Sus scrofa: one gene and its partner. The protein of the gene in region 1 interacts with the protein of each later gene in a biochemical or structural test. Links are inferred from orthologs where the notes say so. Each region holds a gene or a part of one and is shown on either strand. Other genes may lie near its edges.

Evidence for each region.
Region 2: the proteins of COPS7A (region 1) and COPS4 form a complex in vitro, tested with the Homo sapiens proteins (2 studies listed by BioGRID). The link is inferred for Sus scrofa from reciprocal best matches to the Homo sapiens genes COPS7A and COPS4.

Annotation. Positions count from the first base shown.
Region 1 is NC_010447.5:63,969,856-63,982,439, forward strand, and holds COPS7A (COP9 signalosome complex subunit 7a), read right to left. Parts: upstream 7,616-12,584; 5' UTR 7,470-7,615; exon of another isoform or gene 7,357-7,469; intron 7,353-7,356; exon of another isoform or gene 7,217-7,352; intron 6,977-7,216; 5' UTR 6,934-6,976; coding exon 6,772-6,933; intron 4,919-6,771; coding exon 4,843-4,918; intron 4,609-4,842; coding exon 4,520-4,608; intron 2,879-4,519; coding exon 2,676-2,878; intron 2,126-2,675; coding exon 2,020-2,125; exon of another isoform or gene 1,862-2,019; coding exon 1,710-1,861; intron 1,556-1,709; coding exon 1,516-1,555; 3' UTR 688-1,515; downstream 1-687.
Region 2 is NC_010450.4:135,296,809-135,308,779, reverse strand, and holds part of COPS4 (COP9 signalosome complex subunit 4), read left to right. Parts: intron 1-1,118; exon of another isoform or gene 1,119-1,238; intron 1,239-3,745; coding exon 3,746-3,825; intron 3,826-7,230; coding exon 7,231-7,382; intron 7,383-8,364; coding exon 8,365-8,468; intron 8,469-11,971. UniProt on the Homo sapiens protein: Component of the COP9 signalosome complex (CSN), a complex involved in various cellular and developmental processes.

The DNA of each region.
Region 1 (12,584 bases):
CACTGAGCCACAACAGGAACTCCCCCAACCACTGCTTCTTACTGAGACCTGAGAGTCCCACGTGGCTTTGATGAGAAAACTCAAGTTTACTATCAACTCTTCCCCCTGTAATTCTATAAGGTGGACAGAAACATGCTGAACTCAAGCTCCTTGAGAGAAGGGACAGTGACCATCATTTTGCACCTCCAGTACCCAGCACGAGCTGATGCCCAGTAGGTATCCGCCGCCTCTGAATGAATGCTGAGACATCAAGCAATCCATCTAAAGGCATGCGGTTCAGGGTCTAGGTTTCCCAACTCCGAGGCCAGGCTTCGGCATGGAGTATCTGGTTCTCTTCTCTTTTTTTTTTGCTTTCTAAGGCTGCACCTGAGGCATATGGAGGTGCCCAGGCTAGGGGTCCAATCAGAGCTACAGCTGCCAGCCTATCCCACAGCTACAGCAACGCGGGATCTGAGCCACGTCTGCAACCTACACCACAGCTCATGGCAACGCCAGATCCTTAACCCACTGAGCAAGGCCAGGGATCCAACTCGCAACCTCATGGTTCCTACTCGGATTCATTTCCACTGCACCGTGATGGGAACTCCTGGTTCTTTTCTCTTTCTAGCACTTTTCTTTAGGATGGACTGGAAATGAGCCTTCTTCCCATCTCCCAGTACCAAAGACAGAGATACCCAGCTCAGGGCATGTTTGTAGATAGACTTCTCATAGATTTATTTCTGTGTCATGTTATATATAGATATATGTATATATACTCTTTTTTTATACACTTTCTATCCCCTTCCCTTCCCCATCAAACTCACAAAAGGAAGTGTAAATCCTTCCGGGACTGCCATCAGGCTTTCTAAGACAGGCCCAGGAAAGAACCATATCGCAATAGCTCGAGAAACAGCAGCCCTTAGGCTCTGGGGACATGGAAGCAGCAGCATTCCCAGGACCCAAGGGGAGGAGAGAGGAAAGGAAACAACTGTAGTGAGATAGGACTCTAGGATGTGTGTGTCCAGGGACTCCTGGGAGGGCCGGCTGGCTCCCAGAACTCTCAGGGTGGAAACAAAGGTGGGAGCCCTAGGGCTCTGGGCAGGCTGCCCAAGGAGACTGGGGCAGGGGCAGGGGCAGGAGTCAGGGTTCAGCATGCGGGGAGGGGGGCGCTGGCAGGACCGACAGGTGTGGGTTATGCTGGAGATGCAACCACCTCACCTACTCAGTGACATGATAAACAGGGACAGATGCTGGCTCCTAAAGAAATAGGGGACAGAGCATGGCAGGGAGGAGGAGGGGACAATGGGACACACAAGAAAGTCACATCAAACAAAAAGTACCAACAAAAACATGACTTGTACTTGCCTCCTCCCTAGAGAAGGTGTCATCTCTGCTTGGGGGTGGGGGAGAGAAGGGCGGGGAGGGGTCATGAACCTAGATTATCAGCTGGCCAGGGGCACAGGAAGGCTCTCTGAGGACTCCTAAGGGGCAGGCAGGCAGCTAGGACCCACATCCGGGGAAGAACCGACAGTCCCTTCAGTTCGACTTGGACCAAATCTTGGCGCTCCCTCGGAGCCTGGCAAGGGGAAGAGAGAGAGAGAGGATGCAGGGACCCTCCCAGGCCCTGCCAGCTCCCCTGTTCCCTAGCCGTGTGCAAAAGACTAGAGGGGAGAGGGAGGAGCAGAAGCAGGGCACCCCATAAGCGAGCGGCCCCCACCACACTGGCTCACCCCTTGCCCTTCGAGGCTTTCTTGCTGGGCTGGCGCTGGTTGGTGCCAGGAGCCGGTTCCCTCAGCTCCGTCAGGTGTTGCTCGGGATCCTGAGATGTGGCTGCGGCAGCGGCTGCGGTAGTAACTTTGATGGTTTTTTTAAGGTTGGCGACCTACCAGAAGGAAAGGAAGGAAACCAAGGAAGGTTCCAGAACCTGGCGGTCCCTGCCCAACGGGTCTGCCTGCTACAGCACCGGTCCAGACCCCTCTGCCCAGGACAACCAGCCGAAGCTGTGGGAGCTCGGGCCGGCCTGCTCCCCTGCCTGCTCACCTCACTCTCGATCTGCTGCTTCAGGCCCAGCTGCTGCTCCTTGTGCTGGTTGGCCCGGCTCACCTGCTCCTCAATGCCAGAGAGCACCACCTCGCAGCCCACACACCTGCACGAACCGGCGGGAGGAGGGTCAGCAGAGGGCTGCGAGCACAGACTCCCGAGACGGACACAGAGACACCCCGAGACCCGGGCAGCCGGAGCCCTGTCTGCGTTAGAAGCCTCGCCTGGCCCCGTGGAAACCACCTCAACGAGATCCCCGGGAGCCTTAAGGACACTCCGGTAGGCTAAGGGAGGAGAAAGCAAGTGCCTGGAGTGATGGGCGAGGAACTAAACCCACAACGGGGCAGGACGTGCTCCAGAGGAAGAAAAGAAGCTGTGTTAACGAACCCAAGTCAGATAAGAACACAGAGAAAACAGAAGTGAGAGAGGCCCAAGGCCTGTGGACAGCGCTGGTCATACTGCATCCTGCCTGGCCCACCCCCCAGGGAGGATCCCCTCAAGAGGACCCCCCCTTCCTCCTCCCAGTTCCTCTTCAGGCTCCTGGGGGGTGCCTCTGCCGCCCAGCCACCCCCCCCCCCCACCCCCGGCCTCCACCAAAGCAGCCCTCCCTTCTTGGGGCCAGCAGAGGAGGGACAGTGCCGGGACCCAGGTCTCACCACTCCTGCAGGGTTCGGGCAATGGCACTGAGGTCCTGGCGCTGGATGTCCCGCCCGATGCTGTAGTCAACCTCCAGCCGCTGGTTGCGCTGGTCCAGGGAGCCGCGAAGCACGTCGGCGTACACGGCCTCGATGACCAGGTCCTCCAGCTGCCGCACGTTCCGCAGGGCCAGGGCCTCCAGCAGCACTGCATATGGGATACACTGGGGCCCGGAGGTCGGGCTGCGGTCTGTGAGGTTCCGCACAGAGAAGGGCTTCCAAGATTCTTCTTCCCTCCTTCCCCCACTGCCCGCCCTCCAGTCCTCCTCCTCAATCACTTTCCGTAAAAGGCAGGTTCTAAGGCAAAATAAATGAAAGTATTCCCACCTGATAAATAACATCCTAAGAAAGAGAATCGTTCACATTTATGTATTTATGACTGTTGTTGTCTTTTTTGACGGCCCCACCTGTGGCACAGAGGTTTCCAGGCTAGGGGGCAAATCAGAGCTGCAGCTGTCAGCCTACACCACAGCCACAGCAACCCCGGATCCGTGCCGCATCTGCGACCTACACAGCAGCTTGTGGCAACGCCAAATCCTTAACCCACTGAGCATGGCCAGGGGTTGAACCTGCATCCTCACAGACACTATGTCAGGTTCTTATGCCACTGAGCCACAATGGGAACTTTTTTTTTTAATATTATTTTCCTTTCTGCAACTTTTTTTTCAGGCACACCCACACCATGGGGAAGTTCCTGGGCCAGGGATCAAACCCGAGACACAGCAGGGAACCAAACCTCAGCACTGGCAACGCCTGATTCTTACCCTGCAAGGCTACTGGAGAACTCCAAAAAGGACAATCTTAAGGAAAACATTTATGCTCCCCTCAATGCCCAGCCCACCACAGGGTGACATCTGCCTGGGTGTCAACCCTCTGGCTCAGCTCAGGACAGTACACGGATGTGGTCAAGACGAGCTTGACCTACGGGACGCTGTGGTGGAGGAGAGGCTGGAGCTCTTCTGTTTATCATTTATACACGGTCTCCTTCCAAAGAGGCAGTGAGCCTGATTTAAGCCAAACCATGGGGATGATGGGAGAGTCAGGGAACAACTGGGAGATGCAGATGGGCAAACAGTTAACAAGAATGGAACCCAACAGGAAATACAAAGATGCTTCTGGGTTATGTATTTTTTATTCAAGCAAATAGAAGCCTGCTACGTCACCAGGAGCGAGTGTGTCCCAGCTCTGGCCACTGCAGCTGCTTCCACGGACTTCATACAGTGGGAGGAATGGGCTGAGGAATAACACAGTGAGTGGCATCCTAGCTGCTATTCTGACCTGACACACAAAAGATGTTTTACTTAGAACATAAGTGGGTTGAAAAACAAAATAGAGGAGTTCTGGTTGTGCCACAGCAGAAATGAATCTGACTAGTAACCAAGAGGTTGTGGGTTCGATCCCTGGCCTTGCCCAGTGGGTTAAGGATCCAGCGTTGCCATAAGCTGTGGTGCAGGTCACAGATGTTGCTCGGATCCTGCACTGCTGCGGCTGTGGCACAGGCAGGCAGCTGTAGCTCTGCTTCGACCCCTCACCTGGGAACCTCCATATGCCGTGGGTGTGGCCATAAAAAGCAATAAAAAAAAAAAAAAAAAAAGAAAAACAAAATAGAAAGCTGGGAGAATAACGTTCCACCTAAAGGGCCACAGGTATCAGAGTAAGACACAGACCTTGGAGGAATGTGGGGAAACAGGAAGAAGCACCACTGTGGTCAAAGCTGTCCCAGTGCAATTCCCTTCAGATGGGCCCTTGTGAAGCCGACACAAAAAAGTGCTCCCTGGCTCAGGACTGGGGGGTCTGTCACTCACCTTGACCTTGGCAGCCAGGGTGACAACTGACAGGTGTCTAAGCTTATTCTTCTGAGCCTCTGTGAGTGGGGGAAGATTCCGGGCTTCAGCTAGAAAAAAAAAACAAGGTATAGAAAATCCTGATTTCACTTGTGTGGGAAGCCCTAGCCTCTCTCCTCTTGATTTTTCTTTTCTTTTCTTTTTTTTTTTTTTTTGAGTTTTCTGTGCCAATTTGGGTCTTGACCTTGACCCTGTACCTATGGGATCTAAGTCAGGTATCTCAAGAATTTCTTCTACATAAACTGCCCATCTCCCATCTCCAGAGTTCCGGCCCCTCCGGATACCTAAGTAGTCAGCGTATGTCCCATAAGCAAACACCGTGAGCAGCCGGAACGTGGAAGCGAAGTCACTCTCAGCCAGCTGCAAGAACATGAGGGGAGAGAAGAGGTGAGTGGAGGGGCCTCTCTCTCCACCCTCCCAGCCCTACCCTGTTTGAATTCCACTTTCTGGACCCAGCTTTCCCCTCTAACAGGAGCTCTCACAGCAGCTCACCGACAGCAACCCTCTGCCTCTCTGATCACTCTTCCCACAGCAAGGCCTCATTTCCACCTCCAGGCCCTTGTTTATGCTATGCCCCCAATCCACAACGCCCTCTTCCTCCATCTGCCTCCAATTCCTACCCTCATTCAGGGCTGAAAACTTTCAGAGCGTTTATGTTGCAAACTATGTTGTTTGGTCCTTAAAGAGTATTTAACATTTCCAATTTTGAAAATCTTTAGGGAATCTGCTGTATTACCTAAGTCACCAACAACTTCTGCCTCAGCCTCACTCCCCCGACAGCTGTACGGTCTGGGCAGGCCCTGGGATCTGTGGTCTCTGCTTCAGCCCAGCCTCACCCAGGAGCTTTCATTACCCACTCAGGCCAGCACAGCCTCCTCTCCTCCCACCGCTGATCATCCACTAAGTCAAAGCCCACCTAAGGTTGTTACCTAAGGGTATTTTTCAACAAGGTCACAGACTCAGCCTCTTATAATCCACTTAGGTCTAGCAGAGATGTGCATGTGATTGGCACTGCCACTAAACACTTGCTAAATAAATGTCTTATTCATGGATATCCATCCATCTTATCTCTGCAACTGGAATGTAAGTCTCAGAAGGGGAGCACTGTATCTTGTACTCTTCTGGTATTCCCAGATGACCAGTAGGGTTTTGGCAGGTTTTTTAGGGAGGTTCCCAGGCTAGGGGTCGAATCAGAGCTGTAGCTACCGGCCTACACCACAGCCACAGCAACGCCAGATCTGAGCCGCGTCTGTGACCTACACCACAGCTCACAGCAACACCAGATCCTTAAGCCACTGAGTGAGGCCAGGGATTGAACCCACATTCTCATGGATACTAATCAGATTCATTTCCACTGAGCCACAATGGGAACTTCAACTAGCAAGGTGTTAAACAGGCACCCAAAACATGGTTCTTTTTTTTCACCTTGATTCTTTTTAGTTCCACTGCAGAGGACATCAGGGAAAGAAGGCAGCCAGCTTTCTTCAGACCAGAAGGTTCCCCAAAGGCTAAATCCACTGAATCACTGACCCTCAAAAGCGTAACTCAGTTTGCCCACCTACCATTGTTATACCATCTTGGGGGTTGGGTTGGTGACATATATCTTGGCAACCCACTCACTGTGGACTTCAAACTCAACTCTGCCACTTCTGTGCGAACAGTTCTGTGTTCCTAGCATGCTGCTATGTGTCTTTGGGAAAAAGACACTTTCTACCTACTCTAACTGAAGTGAATTAGCATATGGTGCAAAGGGGGAGAGAACAGAGCATGCCAATTTCACAGTCAGTTATTCCATTTGTACCAGACTTTACTTTCCCATAATTTCATCTGATTCCTACAAGAGTGAGGGATTGTATCAGGAGCATTTTTTTAAAAGAGAAAATTTAGGGCCTAAAATTAAAGAAACCTGATCAAGATCATATGATTATTAAGAGCTATTACACTGATAGAGACAGGCTGGAATCAGGTCTCCTACTCTGAATCGCAGGCTCTTTGTTCAAAAATGAAAAATACTCAGTTTTACAGATCATTCATCCTCAAAGGGAAACTAAGAGGTTTACTTGCCTACTTATTTCTGCAAGCTGTTGGTTAATTATTACCATATTCTTGTTTAACTGTATGGTCATGGGGTTGCGAAATAAGCCCGGGCCGCCTGTTCTCAAATTCAAACTTTAGTCAAGCTGCCCTGTGGGCTACCCAGGTCAGGAACCCACCTCTCTAACATTAGGCATATCCAGCAGTTCCCCAAACACGTAGACACCAGGGGCCTCCAGCACCTGGTGGATGAGTGTGGCCAGCGCTGCCCCCTTGGCCGACTTCGCCAGGAGCAGGAATTGCTCCTGGTTCTGCCCTGTCACCTTCACCTCCGCACTCATGGCTGCACTGAGCTGGGGGGACCTGGGCTCAGGAAGTCTGGAGCTGCAAGGAAAGAGAATGTGAAGGCGAAGTTCCTTGAACAGGGGAGGATGAAAAGCACAAGAGATAAGGGCTGGACTGGAGACACTGAGCCACTTTCGCAACAATAAAGTTCGCTCTATCTCGCAACCCAGAGATCGAGCAGTCTAACATCGGACCTAGGAACCCTAAAATCGGGCACTTTGAAGGAAGCCTGGCTAAAATCCGGCTGCCACGCCCACCTCCCCCAACCCTGGGCCTAACCTCAAGCCCCACCACGTGCACCCCAATGAACCCCAAGGCACAAGTCGTAGTGGGGGAGGTGATGTCACATAGTATCCACCGGGACGACGCTCCCTCAAATCCACAGTACCCCGCAGGTGCCCCGAACCACGTGACCTCACCCTCGCGATCCTTCCACGTGGCTCCGCCCCCTCCCTTAAAGAGGCCGCCCAGGGACCGTGGGCTCCCGCCGACTGCCTCGTCGTACTCTGGGTCAGACTCCGCGGGCCGCTACCTGGAAGCTTCTTCTTCCAGCGCACTGGGCGGGGCCACCGCTCCGTCACCTCCGGCAGCTGTTCCCAGCCTTTCCTGCCACCTCCCTGCACGGTCGCTCTGGCCCCTAAACTCTATGGCTGGCTTCCGGCCTTACTTTCCGCTCTCACGGGGCGGGTTTCAGGCGGGACATGCTCCGTCCCCGCCTCCGACTGATGAAGATCCCAAGAGCGACGCAGGCGTTCTGCTCTCTGATTGGCTCTTGCGGAAAGAATGACGGGCGCCCTTTCCTCGGCTTTGTTTCAATAAAACTTTATTGGACAAGCGCAAGAGGCTGTTTGCAGAGGGAACTCTTGGCGATAGCCTGCTACCGGCTAGTTCTGCGTCAGCTTCAGGCTGGCTGAGGTCTGAAAATTTGTCAGAGTTCCCGAGGCAAGAGAAAAGCTGTAATCGAAAGAGAGGGGGATTTAAAAAAAAGAGAGGGGAGTTCCCGTCGTGGCGCAGTGGTTAACGAATCCGACTAGGAACCATGAGGTTGCGGGTTCGGTCCCTGCCCTTGCTCATTGGCTTAAAGGATCCGGCGTTGCCGTGAGCTGTGGCGTAGATTGCAGACGCGGCTCGGATCCCGCGTTGCTGTGGCTCAGGCATAGGCCAGTGGCTACAGCTCCGATTTGACCCCTAGCCTGGGAACCTCCATATGCCGCGGGAGCGGCCCAAAGAAATAGCAGACAAAATAATAAAAAATAAAAAATAATTAAAAAAAAAAGAGAGGGACATAAGGAAAAAGGTGGTGTGAAACGAGGAGGAGAGAGGGAGACCATAGAAGTTGAGCTGCAGAGATCGTCTCATTTTTATTGCAACCACTCATTTTTTTGGAGGAGAAAGAGACAAGTGTGGAAACGGTAAATAGTAATAGCTAACACGTATTGAAGGCTTACTGTTGTTCAGGCATCTTTTAAAATTAAAATTTGACCCATTGAATTCTCATAACTGTACAGTGTCTCCATGGTGTTTCCAGGACGCCATCTCTCATGTTTGCAAATGTACTGAATGATGCATTCCTGTACATTAACCCTTTTGATTCCTGGAGAAGGAAAAAAAATCCTAGCTGCAGGGAAGGCATACATTGAAGCTCATAAAAATCCAGAGTTTTGGAGTTCCCGTCGTGTCGCAGTGGTTAACGAATCTGACTAGGAACCACGAGGTTGCGGTCCCTGCCCTTGCTCAGTGGGTTAACGATCTGGCGTTGCCGTGAGCTGTGGTGTAGGTTGCAGACGCGGCTCGGATCCCGCGTTGCTGTGGCTCTGGCATAGGCCGGTGGCTACAGCTCCGATTGGACCCCTAGCCTGGGAACCTCCATATGCCGCGGGAGCGGCCCAAAGAAAGCAAAAAAACGAACAAACAAACAAAAAATCCAGAGTTTTATTTGGAGCCCATGTCTATTCGAGCCTGGAGCCATCTTTCCAATTTACCACAATACTTTAGGGGGCAAAAATAAACAACTAACCTTTTCGTAGTGTTTTGTATCTCCTACCAGGCTTACAGAAGGTTAAATCAGAGCAATGTTAATGATATCTTGGAGGCACTTGTATGAGGCACTGAGCTAACAGCTTTACCTAATTCATTTGATGCGTGTAAAAAGTCCATTATTATTTCCATTTTCCAGATGGGAAAAGTGAGGCTCAGAGAAGTGAAATAATTTATATGTAATGGAAAGAGGAGAAAGGGAAAGACGTCGTTAAATGAAGAGAAAAATCAGAACTGGTAGGCTGCTGGAGCTATTGCTGAAGGGACTTTAAGCTCAAAGTTTATTTGTTGCTTTTTAGGGCTGCACATGCAGCATATGGATGTTCCCAGGCTAGGATCCAATCGGAGCTGCAGCTGCTGGCCTACACCACAGCCACAGCCACGCCAGATCTGTGAACTACACCACAGCCTACAGCAACACCCGACCCTTGACCCCCTGAGCGAGGCCAGGGATTGAACCTGTGCCCTCATGGATGCTAGTTGGGTTCTTAACCCACTGAGCCACAATGGGAACTCCTCCACCATAGTAAGTTCAGTTAATATCTATCATCTCATATATATATATATATATATATATCAAAAAAAAAATTTTGTCAATGTGATGAGAACTCTTAACTACTTTCAAATCTGCAATACAACAATGTTAACTAACCACTATACCATACATTATGTTGTATATTACATCATTAGTACCTATTTATCTTATAACTGGAAGTTTGATACTTTTTTTTTTTTGTCTTTTGTCTTTTTAGGGCTGCACCCGTGGCACATGGAGGTTCCCAGGCCAGGGGTCTAATCGGAGCTATAGCTACCAGCCTACACTACAGCCACAGCAACACCAGATCCAAGCCACATCTGCGACCTGCCCCACAACTCATGGCAATGCCGGATCCTTAACCCACTGAGCAAGGCCAGGGATCAAACCCGAAACCTCATGGTTCCTAGTCGGATTTGTTTCCACTGCACCATGACGGGAACTCCTGGTACACTTATTTTTATTATTTTCAAAAATTTTATGGAAGTATAGTTGATTTACAATGTTGTATTTCTGCTGTACAGCAAAGTGACTCAGTTATACAAATATATTCTTTTTAATTTTCTTTTCCATTACAGTTTATCACAGAATATAGAATATAGTTCCCTGTGCTATAGAGTAGGACCTTGTTTATCCATTCTACATATAATAGTTTGTCTCTGCTAATCCCACATTCCCAATCCTTCACTCTCCCAACCCCCTCCCCCTTGGCAACCACAGTCTGTTCTCTATATTGTGGGTCTGTTTTTGTTTCATGAACATGTTGATTAGTGTCATCCATATAAACTTTAGAACCCGTTTGTTGATATCCCTACAATAATTTCCCGCAATTGTGGTTGCAATTGTATTGAGTCTATAGGTCAAGTTGGGAAGGAAACTGATTTTTTTCTTTCTTTTTAGGGCCACATCTGCGGCATATGGAAGTTCCCGCACTAGAGATCGAATTGGAGCTGCAGCTGCAGGCCCTGGCCACAGCCACAGCCTCAGCAATTTGGGATCCAAGCAGCATCTGCAGCCTATGCTGCAGCTTGCAGCAATGCTGGGTCCTTAACCAACTGAGTGAGGTCAGGGGTAAACCTGCATCCTCACAGAGACAACCTGGGGTCCTTAACCCAGTGAGCAACAATGGGAACTCCAGGGAAGAACTGATGTTTTGACCATATCTTTTTATCCAGATATGTGGATTGTTTCTCCCTTTAATTAGTTCTCTGATTTTATTTATCACAGTTTTGTAGTTTTCCTCATAGATCTTACACATGCTTTGTTAAATTTATACTTAAGAATTTCACATTTTGGAGTCGCTCAATGACATTGTATTTTTAATTTCAAATTCCACTTGTTCATTGTTGGTTTACAGTAAAGCAGTTGACTTTTATATATTAACCTTTGGGAGTTCCCGTCGTGGTGCAGTGGTTAACGAATCTGACTAGGAACCATGAGGTTGCGGGTTCTGTCCCTGCTCTTGCTCAGTGGGTTAATGATCTGGCATTGCCGTGAGCTGTGGTGTAGGTTGCAGACGCGGCTCGGATCCCGCGTCGCTGGGCTGTGGCGTAGGCAGGTGGCTACAGCTCTGATTCGACCCCTAGCCTGGGAACCTCCATATGCCACGGGAGCAGCCCAAGAAATAGCAAGAAGACCAAAAAAAAAAAAAAAAAAAGAAATCATATGTATTAACCTTTGGATCCTGCAGCCTTGCTAGAATTGCTTATTGGTTCTAGGAGGTTTTGTTGTTGATGCTTTCGGATTTTCTACATAAAAGATTTCGTCCTCTATGAACATATTTTATGTCTTCCTTTATGAAGATAGTTTTATGTCTTCCTTCCCCATTTTTATACCTTTTATTTCTTTTCCTTGCTTTATTGCATTAGCAGGGATTTCCCGTACAATGTTAAAGGAAGTGGTGAGGGGATGTTCTTGCCTTGTCCCTGATCTTAGAAAACTTCGTGTTTCTCCCTATTATTCATATGATGTTAGCTGTAGGGTTTTCTTCTTCTGTGTATGTTGTTGTTCAACTTGTTATTTATTTAATCTTTACAACACACCTTTGCGGTGCTTGTTAATATCTTTGTTAACTTGTGAAGACACTGAGAATCACAGAAGTTAAATGATTTGTTGAAGGCCGCCACTATAAGTGATGGAACTGAGACCCAAATGCAAGTTGGATGCCAACACTGTGCTAGGAAAGAAAAGAAAAAGCAGAAATGAAAGACAGAGGAGGAAGAAAGGGATAATCTGAGATCTTGCCCTAATTCAGCTTTACACTAGCTGTGACCTTAAAGCAAATTGTGCCATCTTGTGGTGTCCCCTTTTCCGTATCTGCAGAGTGAGAGATTAAGGCCAGTTCTGATTCTGATGTTTTATGGTTCCCTGAGAGAAAGAGGAGTAAGAGGAGGAAATGAGGGAACAATTAATATGCAGAAAAGGAGAATTTGGAGAAAGAAAGGAGAAATGATGGACTAAAGAAGTAAGATTGGGAGTTCCCGTCGTGGTGCAGTGGTTAACGAATCTGACTAGGAACCATGAGGTTGCAGGTTCGATCCTTGCCCTTGCTCAGTGGGTTAACGATCCGGCGTTGCCATGAGCTGTGGTGTAGGTTGCAGACGCAGCTCGGATCCTGCGTTGCTGTGGCTCTGGCATAGGCTGGCAGCTACAGCTCCGATTGGACCCCTAGCCTGGGAACCTCCATATGCCGCAGGAGCGGCCCAAGAAATGACAAAAAGACAAAAAAAAAAAAAAAAAAAAAAAAAAGAAGATTGAAAGGCAGACAGAGGAGTTCTCCGTGGTGGCGCAGCAGAAAGGAATCTGACCAGGAACCATGAGGTTTCGGGTTTGATCCCTGACCTCGCTCAGTGGGTTAAGGATCCGGGATCGTGGTGAGCTGTGGTGTAGGCCGGCAGCTGTAGCTCCTGGGAACCTCCATATGCTGCGAGTGCGGCCCTAAAAAGGCAAAAGGAAAAAAAAAAAAGGCAGACAAAGGAGAAGAGGGATAAATGTGAGGAAAAAAAAAAAAAAAAAAGAGAGATGAGAAAAGAAGAGGGGCAAGTGGGAAGAAAAGAAGATCTGCGGGTGGGAGCA
Region 2 (11,971 bases), on another chromosome or scaffold:
GTGTTGAACACACACTGCAGCAGTGACCTGAGCTGCAGCAGTGACGGCGCTGGGTCTTTAACCTGCTGATTGCGTTTCTTGAATCAGTGGATTGAGTCATTTCATTGTCCTGAGAGGTTTGCAGCTATCTCTCTTTTAATGTTGCCTCTGTCTTGTTCTGTTTTCTCCCCTAGGACGCCAGTGAAACCCCTGTTGGGCCTTCTTACTGTGACCTTCCTGGCCCTCACTCTGTCTTCTGTACTGTCCATCTTAATGCTTTTTCTGGATAAGTTCCTCTGACTTGCTTTCTAGTTTATCAGTTCTTCCGATATGTCTAATCTGCTGTTAAGAACTCCACAGAGTTTTAAGTTTGGTAATATTTTTTAGTTCTATAGTTTTGGGTGATACTTTTTTTCAAATGACACTTTTTTTTTGTCTTTTTAGGGCCGCACCCATGGCATATGGAGGTTCCCAGGCCAGGGGTCGAATCGGAGCTATAGCTGCTGGCTTACACCACAGCTATAGCAACACTAGATCCTTAACCCACTGAGCGAGGCCAGGGATTGAACCCGCAACCTTGTGGTTCCTAGTTGGATTTGTTTCCGCTGCGCCACAATGGGCACTCCCAAATGACATTTTTTATGGTTCCTAGTTTCTCGCTGAAATTTTAAAGCTTGTCTTTGTCTTTATAAACTTGATAAGCATAAGCATATTTCAGTCTTTCTGATAACTCCAGTATCTAGTGTTCCTGTTTGTTGCTATTGTTTGTTTTTATTGATTCCAGGTAATATTGTCATGTGTCTTATAATCTTGGTGTTGGGCAAATTATTTTATTTTATTATTATTATTACTATTTTTGTCTTTCTAGGGCCACATCCTCAGCATATGGACATTCTTAGACTAGGGGTCTAATCAGAGCTACAGCTGCCGGCCTACACCACAGCTCCCAGCAATGCCGGATCCTCAACCCACTGAGCACAGCCAGGGATCGAACCCGCAACCTCATGGTTCCTAGCCGGATTCCTTTCTGCTGCACCACGACGGGAACTCCTTCAGCAAATTATTTTAAAATGTATTTTTGAAACACCTGGAGGCCTATGACGTTACCTTTCAGAGAGGATTTTCATTTCTCCGGCCAGGCACCTGATGATGCTAGCCGTCTAGGGCCAAGGCTTCCACATTTATCGGTCTTCCTACTCAGTGATCCTTGGAATAGAATTTGGAACCTTACGGAGTGCTCGTGTTTCCTCCCTTGGCAAGTAAGAAACCTCAGATCCCGGTTCTAGTTTTGTTAGTCATCAGAAATTGCATGTGGACGCTCGGTATTTCTAGCAGGCGGCAGAACAGCCCTAAGCAGACCCGCTCGTTTCTCGCTGCCAGAAGAGTCGTCTCTGCCCTCCGCTCTCCACACAGTCAGCAAAGGCGTCCAGCGCCAGCTCGGGTTCCCTTCGTGGCGCTCTTAGTCTCTTGTGTTTGCTCTTTCTTGTTAGAATTATATGCTATCAATTTTTTAATCATTTCTTTCAGCCTCCTATGTTCTTTCTGAGATAGGGTTGGTTCAGGTGTCTGGTTCACTGTGATTATAAGTGAAAGCTCTGTGAATACATGCCTGTTAACACTCGTTTTTACTGTAGTGACAGTGGTACATTTGCGTGTGTCTGTTTCATTCACCTCTAGATTCCTTTTTAGTGCCAAGACATCGGGAATTGATATGCTGAATGTTGGTTCACAGATATCAGAGATGCTCCGTAAACATTTGTGGATGATAAATGGATAGGACAGATGCAAACTGCCTTCATTAATTCAATTTATTTTCCTCCATAATATTTTTTAATGAAAACATATTTGGTCCTTGTCATGTTCTCCACATGAGCCACTTTTCCATCTTTGCCATTGTTTTAGTTTGTTTTTGTTTTTGTTTTGGTGTTCCCCATATAGACCAATTGATGGATAAGTTATGAAACTATACGCTAAAACTTAAGTTATTAGCAAATTTTTATGTGAGGCATTGTTGTCTTTGAATATAATATTAGTATAAAATAACTTGTGGAATATAAGAGTAATAGAGTTTAGCTAGAGTCTTCATTTAATTGAATATGAAAAATAAGACAATCCAAAAGAAGAAATAACAAACCATTGAATGCATTAACTAAAACATGTCCAGGGCAATAAAGTAAATGTTTGAATATAGATATGGAAAATGTATGTGCATGTATGTGTGTATATATGTATGTATAGAGAGAATGTGATATTCCATGTAAATTAATTTTTTAAATTTTATTTATATGTTTAATTTTTTTTGGCCATAGAGTGCAGTGGCTTGATGTGGGATCTCAGTTCCCAGACCGGGGACTGAACTTGGCTGCAGTGGTGAAAGCACCAAGTCCAAATCACTAGACCACCAGGGAACTCCCTGTAAATGAATTTTTAGATAAGTGTATTTTATCCCTTAAGTGTAGCAATTTTAAAAGTAGTAATTTTTATTTTAAAGCTTGATAGTATTTCCTTCCTTTCTTGGAATAATTTGCCTCTCCTTTGGGAATTTGCGCTCTCTTCTCTCCGTTTACCTACTTTCTTACAAAGTCAGTTTGATTTATTGCCCTTTTGAGAAATCATACAACCAAGGTCGTGACAGACAATGTTGCATGAGCTGAGAACCAGTAAGTACTGAATTGTAGCTTGATGATAAGCCCTACAAAATACAAGTCATAAATTTGAATGAGTTTGGGCCCTATTTGTATATTTTTATTTCTTGACTATATTCTGGATAATGTTCGGAATAATTGCAATTAGGTGTGTAAAATGCATCAATTAGTGCTTTTAGTAAATACTATGGATGGTCGCTGGGGGCTCAGTGAGTTAAGGATCGAGCGTTATCACTGCTGTGGTGTAGGTTTGATCCCTGGCGCTGGGACTTCTACATGTTGTGGCATGGCCAGAAGATAAATAAGTAAATAAATATTATGATTGAGAATAACGAAAGGAATAAGAATAGAATCATGCTCATGTGGCAATTACTCAGTTTAAGAAGTATTACTAATACTGGTGTATTTCTGAGTGCTTATAGTGTGCCATGTACTGTTCTAGCTGTGTACATACAGCAGCAAACAAGACAAAAATCTCTATCCTCATGGAGTTTACCGTTTAGGAAGGCACTTGAAAGAAGATTGAAATTTTAAATTCAAAACTAAAACTTTAAAGAAAAAGGGCCACCTTAGATCTTGTAACTTACAGATTGACTCTTCTTGTTATGGGCATGAAACCTGAAACAATTGTGGTATACTTTAAAGAAGACTAGAAGAAATGGCACTTGGAATGAGAGGTTTAGGGTTTCTTGTGATGTACTGGAAAGTTAAAAAAAAGTCTGAAGTATCCCATAAGGAAAATCACAAACTAGAGCCCTACGAAGGAAACCAGGGTAAACAGAAATCATCAAACATCAAAGTTAGCATTAAACTCTATGGTGCCCTCTAAACACTATTTTTTGTTGTTGTTTTAGGGCCATACCCAAGGCATGTGGAAGTTCCCAGGCCAGGGGTTGAATTGGAGCTGAAGCTGCTGGCCTACCCCACAGCCACAGCAACACCAGATCTGAGCCACCTCTGTGACCTACACAACAGCTCACGGCAACGCCAGATCCTTAATCCACTGAGCAAGGGCAGGGATCAAACCTACGTCCTCATGGCTACTAGTTGGGGTTGTTACTGCTGAGCCACAACAGGAACCCCTGAACACTATTTTATTGTAATTTTTTGTGTTGTTTTAGGTATCGTCAGATCCTAGAAAAAGCCATTCAGTTATCTGGGGCAGAACAACTAGAAGCTTTGAAAGCTTTTGTGGAAGCGAGTAAGTGGAATGAAAAATCCATGTTTGCCTCATGTTCCTGAGTTAGGACTTAAAAGCTTGCTCAGACTTTGTTTTATATCAAATTGTCAATATATTTACATTGAGGTTAGATTAAATATGCATTGAGATTGATTGATTTTAGACTTTAAGCCACTTATAACTTCACAGTGGATTGTTTTTCAGGAACTATGAAGACATCGTTACATTCACAGTTAAAGTTTTGTATAGTTGTTGACAGAGTAAGTGATGAAAGGCCATATAACAAATGGATTCAAGTCCTGGTCTGCTGTTTTGTTAGCTGTGTGATCTTGGGTAGGCTGTAGAACCTCTTTGTGTCTCCTTTTCCTCGTCTGTAAAACGGGGGTATGATACGTACCCTGTAGAATTGTTGGGAGATTAAATGAGTTAATATACGTAGTAAAGTGCTTAGAATAGCGCCTGGCATGTGATAAGTGCCAGGTAAGTGTTAGCTGTTTGTTGATGTTACGAACATTTCTTTCGAGCAGGAAGTAGAAATTTCCCTTCTTCCAGACACCCTCCCCCACTCCCTGATTTCAGACATACCCAGTTATCTTGCAAAAAACTCAAAATTCAGGTGAGAATTTATTCTGAGTTCACAATACTAATGCTACTTGATAGTGTGCTTTCACATACATTATGTATCACACAGCTTCTTTTCATAACCCTCTACTGAAAATGCAGCTGTAGATAGCCCTGTATAATAGATTTTAAAATGTGTCTCAGGATTAAGTGACCTTTTTTCCCAAGGACATTCAGCTAGTCAGTGGTAGAGCCCAGACTAGAAACTAGATTTTCTGATTTATAATTCTTCTTTTACTTATACTTCCCTGAGAAGGCTAGTTTGTATACTAATTTCTTTCTTTCTTTTTTCTTTTTCTTTTTTTGTCTTTTCTAGAGCTGCACCCGCGGCATATGGAGGTTCCCAGGCTAGGGGTCTAATCGGAGCTGTAGCCACCAGCCTACGCCACAGCCACAGCAACGCCAGATTGGAGCCCTGTCTGCGACCTATACCACCGCTCACAGCAGCGCCGGATCCTTAACCCACTGAGCGAGGCCAGGGACCGAACCCGCAACCTCGTGGTTCCTGGTCAGATTTGTTAACCACTGAGCCACGACAGGAACTCCTATAGTGGTTTCTTTCTAATAGTTATAGGCGTCTACGGCACTTTTAATGAAACTGTTTTCTGGAGTTCCCATCATGACGCAGCGGGAATGTGTTAAGTGCCATGTGCCAGGTATTATTTAAAGTACTTTATATAAATACTGCACTTAAGCTTCACGACAGCCTTATCCACATTTCACAGAAGAGGAAAGAGAAGCACAGAGAGGTTAAGTTTTTTGTTGGAGGGCGTATAATCAGGAGTGTTTGGAAGTGGTGTGGCTCCAGAGTCTTCATCCTTCATCACATGTAATCATACCTCATAAATGTTTATAAACAGTATCGTGAAATATGTCTATACATCTAGTGCTGATCAAAGATCTTATTTTTTCTTTTTTTGGGGAAAGTACAAGTGGCAGTAACTGTCACTACTTGCTCTATTTAAACATCATGAAAATTATTTCGCTTTCTATTCATTTTTGTAGTGAAGTGGGATATGAGAACACAAATGAAACTATAGGTTTTTCTACTCAACATCACTAATTATTAGAGAAATGCAGCTTAGAACTATAATGAGGTCCCACCTCAGACTGGTCAGAATGGCCATCATTAAAAAGTATACAAATAACAGGGAGTTCCCGTCGTGGCGCAGTGGTTAACGAATCCGACTAGGAACCATGAGGTTGCGGGTTCGGTCCCTGCCCTTGCTCAGTGGGTTAACGATCCGGCGTTGCCGTGAGCTGTGGTGTAGGTTGCAGACGCGGCTCGGATCCTGCGTTGCTGTGCCTCTGGTGTAGGCCGGTGGCTACAGCTCCGATTCAACCCCTAGCCTGGGAACCTCCATATGCCGTGGGAGCGGCCCAAGAAATAGCAACAACAACAACAAAAGACAAAAAAAATAAATAAATAAATAAAAATAAAAATTTGTTAAAAAAAAAAAAAAAAAAAAAAAAAAAAAAAGTATACAAATAACAAATGCTAGAGAGGGTGTGGAGAAAAAAAACAGCCTATGCTGTGGGTGGGAGGTTCCTCCAAAAACTAAAGAGAATTACCATATGGGAGTTCCCACTGTGGCCCAGTGGGTTAAGAATTCAACTAGGATCCAAGAAAATGCAAGTTCAATCCCTAGCCTTGCTCCGTGGGTTAAGGATCTGGTGTTGCCTCGAGCTGCAGCGAAGGTCACAGCTGTGGCTTGAATCTGGGGTTGCTGTGACTGTGGCGCAGGCCTGAGGCTACAGCTCTGATTCACCCCCTAGCCTGGGCACCTCCATAGGCCTCAGCTGCAGCCTTTAAAACAAAAAAAACCAAAAAAAAAAACCAATGCCTTTCGCAGTAACATGGATGCAACGGGAGGATTATTATAAGTGGAGTAAGTCAGAAAGAGAACAGCAAACACCACACCATATCACTCACAGGTGGAATCTAAAATGTGGCACAAACGAACCTATCTACGAAACAGAAACAGACTCGTGGTTGCCAGTGGGGAGGGGGAGGGAGAGAGATGTACTAAGAGTTGGGGTTAGAGGATGCGGAGCGATGTCCTTTAGAAAGGAAAAACAAGAACGTGCTACTGTGCAGCACAGGGAACTGTTTCCAGTCTCCTGGGACAGACCATGATGGAGCAGAATGTAAAAAAGCACGAATGTCTGTGTAGAACCCAGGCACTCTGCTGTCCAGCAGAAATTGGTGCAACATTGTAATCAATGATACTTTAATGAAAAAAGAGACAAAAGTAACAGTGTTTCGGAGTTCCCATTGTGGCACAGAGGAAACGAATCCGACTAGGAAGCGTGAGGTTGTGGGTTCGATCCCTGGCTTTGCTCAGTGGGTTAAGGATCCAGAGTTGCTGTGGCTGTGGTGTAGGTCGGCGGCTACAGCTCCGATTAGATCCCTAGCCTGGGAACCTCCATATGCTGCAGGTGCGGCCCTAAAAAGCAAAAAAAAAAAAAAAAAGTAATAGTGTTTCTTCACTTTATAGAGAAATAAAGAAGAGAAAGGAATGATATAAAATTCTCAACTGTTGAAACTTTTCCCCAGCCATTTCTGTTTCTTAGAAAAGTTGTGGTATTTTTACTGTTTTGCTGTAGTTATGTAATCAGATAATTCAGCATAAGGAAAACTGGTTCTGTAATATAAGAGTGTGTGGAGTGTGGAGATCCCTAAACAATGCTTTGAGAGGTTCACTAATACATATGATTTTTAGTATTAATTTTAGTAAAGATGGATTGCTTAATGGAAACACATAAATTACTCATGTTTTCTTATCCCTTATTTTTTTTAACAAGTGGTAAATGAGAACGTTAGCCTCGTGATCTCTCGCCAGTTGCTGACTGATTTCTGCACACATCTCCCTAACCTGCCTGATAGCACAGCCAAAGAAATCTATCATTTCACCTTGGAAAAGATCCAGCCTAGAGTCATTTCATTTGAGGAGCAGGTAAAACCTAGAGCACTGACTTTTGTTTTGCTTTGTTTTTAGGAATCTGTTTAGGATGTGTTTTCTTTTTAAATTGAGGCATAGTGGATGTACAATATTATATATATATAAGTTTAGGTGTAAAACAGTGATTCATAATTGTTAAGGTTATATTCCACTTACGGTTATTATAGAATGTTGGCCATTAGAGTGGTGATTTTTGACCTTGAGATAGCAGCAATTATTTTTAGAGACGCCGTTACATTTTTAAAGGTGATAATCATTGTTTCATTTTTACAAAACAGTGTGCCAAACATTTTTTTTTTTTTTTGCTTTTTTGGGCCACACCTATGGCATATGGAGGTTCCCATGGTAGGGGTTGAATCGAAGCTACAGCTGCCGACTTACACCACAGTCACAGCAAGGCAGGATCCAAGCCGCATCTGCAACCTACACCACAGCTCATGGCAACGCCAGATCCTTAACCCCCTGAGTGAGGCCAGGGATCGAACCCAAAACCTCATGGTTACTACTCAGATTTGTTTCTGGTGCGCCACAATAGGAACTCCCCGAACAGCATTTTATAATGTAAGCTCAAATAATATTACGATGTTTTACGTCCAGCTAATATTTGCTCATTTACTACGATTGGTTTTATGAACTAAATGTTACTCTCTAGACAGTTGTCAAACAGCAGTAGAATTGTTGATTCGGCCAAGAACATAGGAGAGGTCCGTCATATAGGCAGCGACGTAAAAGCAAACCTTGATATTTGAGCTAAATAACTGCATGATCCGCATTGTAGAAATGTGTCACATCAGCTCATTATTTTGATACACTCTGAATGCAAGATTCATAGACGAATCCGGGGGTTCCAGGTGAACTTACTGTTGACTTGCCTGCTTCGTGTGTGGAATGCGAGCATTCTCACAGTAGATTATCTTCTGGCTTCGCGTTACTAGTATCAGTGGAAATAATTTAACACGTATACCTCCTATTCCAGGTTGCTTCCATAAGACAGCATCTTGCATCCATATATGAAAAAGAAGAAGATTGGAGAAATGCGGCCCAAGTGTTGGTGGGAATTCCTTTGGAAACAGGACAAAAGTATAGTAGTGGACGTTGGATGGATATGTATAATTGTTCACTTTTTCCTTATACTCTAGTATAGGAAACAGATAATGACCAATTGAGTAAATAAGTTTTGTGCTGTTGGAAGGTGAGCGGTGCTGTGGAGAAAGGCGGCAAAGTCGGGGACAGGATGTGTCACTAAACCGTGTCATCAGCGTGGTAGGGTGGTCCTGGGGTCGCCTTCTCCAATGCCGGAAGAAGGGGAGGGAGTGGCTGCGAGCTGTCTGAGGGAAGAGCATCAGTAGGGCCTCTTAGAGAGCAGGGCTGGTGCAGAGGCCCTAGGGTGGGAGCATACTTGGAGTGTGTTAAAAGGGCAGGGAGACCTCTGGACGGGTAAGCAAAGTGGAGAACGAGGGAGGTTGAGGTCAGAGAATACTTGGGACCGGCTTTGGGGGGGTCTTGTAGCCATTGTAAGGTCTTTGCCTTTTTTCGAAGTGAAACAGCAGGGCCTCATTGGAGGGTTTTGTGCGGAGGACTGATGTGACCTGACTGATATTTAACTACCAGGTGGAGAGTAAACCGTAGACCTGCAATGACGTTGTAGGGCAGGATGTAGGAGGCTGTGCACTCCTGCAGCTGAGATGGAGAGTGTGAGAAACGCTGGATTCTGGGTGTGTTTCTAAGGTAAAGCTAAGGATTTTCTGACAGCTTGGATATGGACTATAAGAAAAAGAGCCTAGATAAGTTCTGATTTTTGGTCCGAACAATTGGAAAAAAGAGTTGCCGTCTGTTGAATGGTGAAGAATAGATTTGAGGGAAGATCAGGTGCTCTCTTGTGGACCTGTGGTAACCGAGGGGCAGCATCTGGTAGAGAGCCGACTGTTTATGAGTCTGGACTAGAGATGACAGTTGGGAGTCATTGGTGTCTAGACGGAGTTTAAAGCCTTCGGGCTGGACGAGATCGCCGAGGGAGGGGCTGCGGTGAGGGGACTGAGCAGTGAGCACTCTGTCATCAGGGGTCAGGGCGGGAGGAGGGCGCAGCTGGTAAGGGTTGTCCACTGGGGTAAGAAGACAAATCGGAAGAGGGTGGAGTGCACTGTCCTGTAAGTCAAATGAGGGGACTGTGTCAGGACGGAGCAAGTGACCAGCGTGGGGCTGATGGTCAAGTAAGAGGAGGGTGAAGGTTAACCTTGGAAGTTAGTAACGGAGGTCGTTGGGGACCTTGACAGAAGCTGTTTGGGGAAATGGTGGGAATGGGAGCCTCGTTGGAGTTGGTTAAGAGAGAGTGGAAGGAGGAGCCCCGGAGGTGATGAGCTGATCAGCTCTTTGGGGAAGTTTTCATAAAGGGGAGCAGAGAAATAGGGTAGGAGGTGACAGCAGCGGCTGAGGTTATGTTTTCTTTTATGAGTGAGTGGAAAGCAAAAATTTGACATGGGGAGTAGTGGGAAGGATTGTTTTTTTTTGTTTGGTCTGCAGCCACCGCATGCAGAAGTTCCCAGGCCAGGGATTGAACCTGCACCATAGCAGTGATCCGAGCCACAGCAGTGACAATGCTGGGTCCTTAACCTCCTGAGCCACCAGGGAACTCCTAGAGGATTCCTGCAGGAGGAGGCAAGAGGCGAAGGAATCCAGTGGAGGGGTAGGCTTCAGATAGGAGGCTGGGTCGTTCCCTTAGTACTGTTGCTTTCTCTTTTTTTTCCTTACGGCATTCCGGGCCAGGGATCCGATCTGAGCTGCAGTCGCAACTTCTGTTTCAGCTGAGGCAACGCCAGGTCCTTAATCCACTGTTCTGGCCAGGGATGGAACCTGCGTCCCAAGATGCAGTTGATCCTGTAACGCCTCAGTGGGAACCCCACTCTTGCATTTTAGATTGCATAATTCTTTGCTGTGGACTCCTGTATATTGCAGGATGTTTAGTAGCATTGGGGGTCTCTCCACGCAGTGGATGTCAGCAGCACCACTGCTCCTAGTTGTGACCGTCAAAAATGTCTGTGGACATTGCTGGATGTTCGCTGGTGGGCAGAAGAGCCCCAGGGATCTATGATAACAGGCAGGAACACAGAGTACATGGGTACAGGTAGTGGTGATGGGGCGAGGGGTTTGTGCAGGCACTGTGGGATTGGAATCGGGCATCAGCTGGAGGCGTGGGTGGTGGTGGGGACTGTGAGGCCGAGGAGAGGAGATCAGAAGATCAGGTCTCTAGGAGAGTGAGACCGTGAATGGACCAGGAATGCACAGCGCACTTGGCAGCATTAAAGGCCGTTTCACGGTCGAAAAGTGAGGTCAGGTTCGATGGGTTGGGCGTTTTTCTCCATCAGAGTTCAGCTGCGCGGTTGCAGGAAAGCGGTGGGTGGACTGTTAGGTTTAACCAGCATTACGATTTTGCCCAACAAGTATGACAGCATGAGAGGGACAAGGGAGACGAGTGCAGATGCAACTCAGTGATTGTAATGATTGACCTTGGGAGTTGGGCCAGGTGAGGAGGGAAGGGAGGCCTTTAAGGGGGAGAATAACAGTAACGGTGTAGTAGGATCAGTGGTTTGGGGTCACAGTGGGTTCAGTGGGTTGTTGGGTTTATGATACTAGAGCAAATGAGATGGAAAAACAATGAAAAAATTAAGATGATAGTTTGTCTTATTCAGCCAGTCTCACCTTCGATATGTACTTTTAAACGTCCTTTTTTCCCCTTTTTTGGCTGCCCCTCGGCACATGGAGTTCCTGGGCCAGGGGTCAGGTCTGAGGCACAGTTGTGACCTCCACCACAGCTGTGGCAGTGCCCGGTCCTTCAACCCACGGTGCCAGGCCGGCGCCGCAGAGACACTGCTGATCCTGTGTGCCATAGCAGGAACTCCCAAATATTTATAGTTCTTTATGAAGCAGCCCTCCAAAGATATTGTACAAGAAGTACCAACTGTGAATGACTTAAAAAAGATTTTCAGTTATTTCTCTACTCTTTTACCAGGTGAATGAAGGCTTCTTTTTTTGTCTTCACTAGTATTTGTGATCATTAGGCACCTGCTTCTTCAGGCATCTTGCCTTTTGCGCATTTATGAAATTGTTAGGCAGTGATGCCCCTGAAAAAGCAGGCAGTATGTAAAAAAGCCTTTGTATGTAGATTTTGAATTTTGTTTTCTAAGGCTTCTTATTAATTCGGTTTTTTTCCTTTGTTTGAAAAGGCTGGTGGCTTTCTTAATTGCTTTGGTCTTCCGTTTTGGAGCAGTTTCTCCCTAGCACAGAGCAAATGATTTATTTTCATTGGTAGTTGAAATAAATGTAAAGTGGATATTGTTCATTGTAGTGGTAATTATCATTTTGAGAATACTGTGTAGCCTTATCTGTGAGGATACTGAGAACTGAAGATGTGGTTTTCTAAACAAGTTAGAGTGATTTGGATAAATTATTGAGTACTTGTTTGTTTAAAAAATAATTAAGGAGTTCCCATTATGGCTCAGTGGGTTAAGAACCTGACTAGTGTCCTTGAGGATGCGGGTTTGCTCCCTGGCCTTGCTCAGTGGGTTAAAGATCTGGTGGTGTAGGTT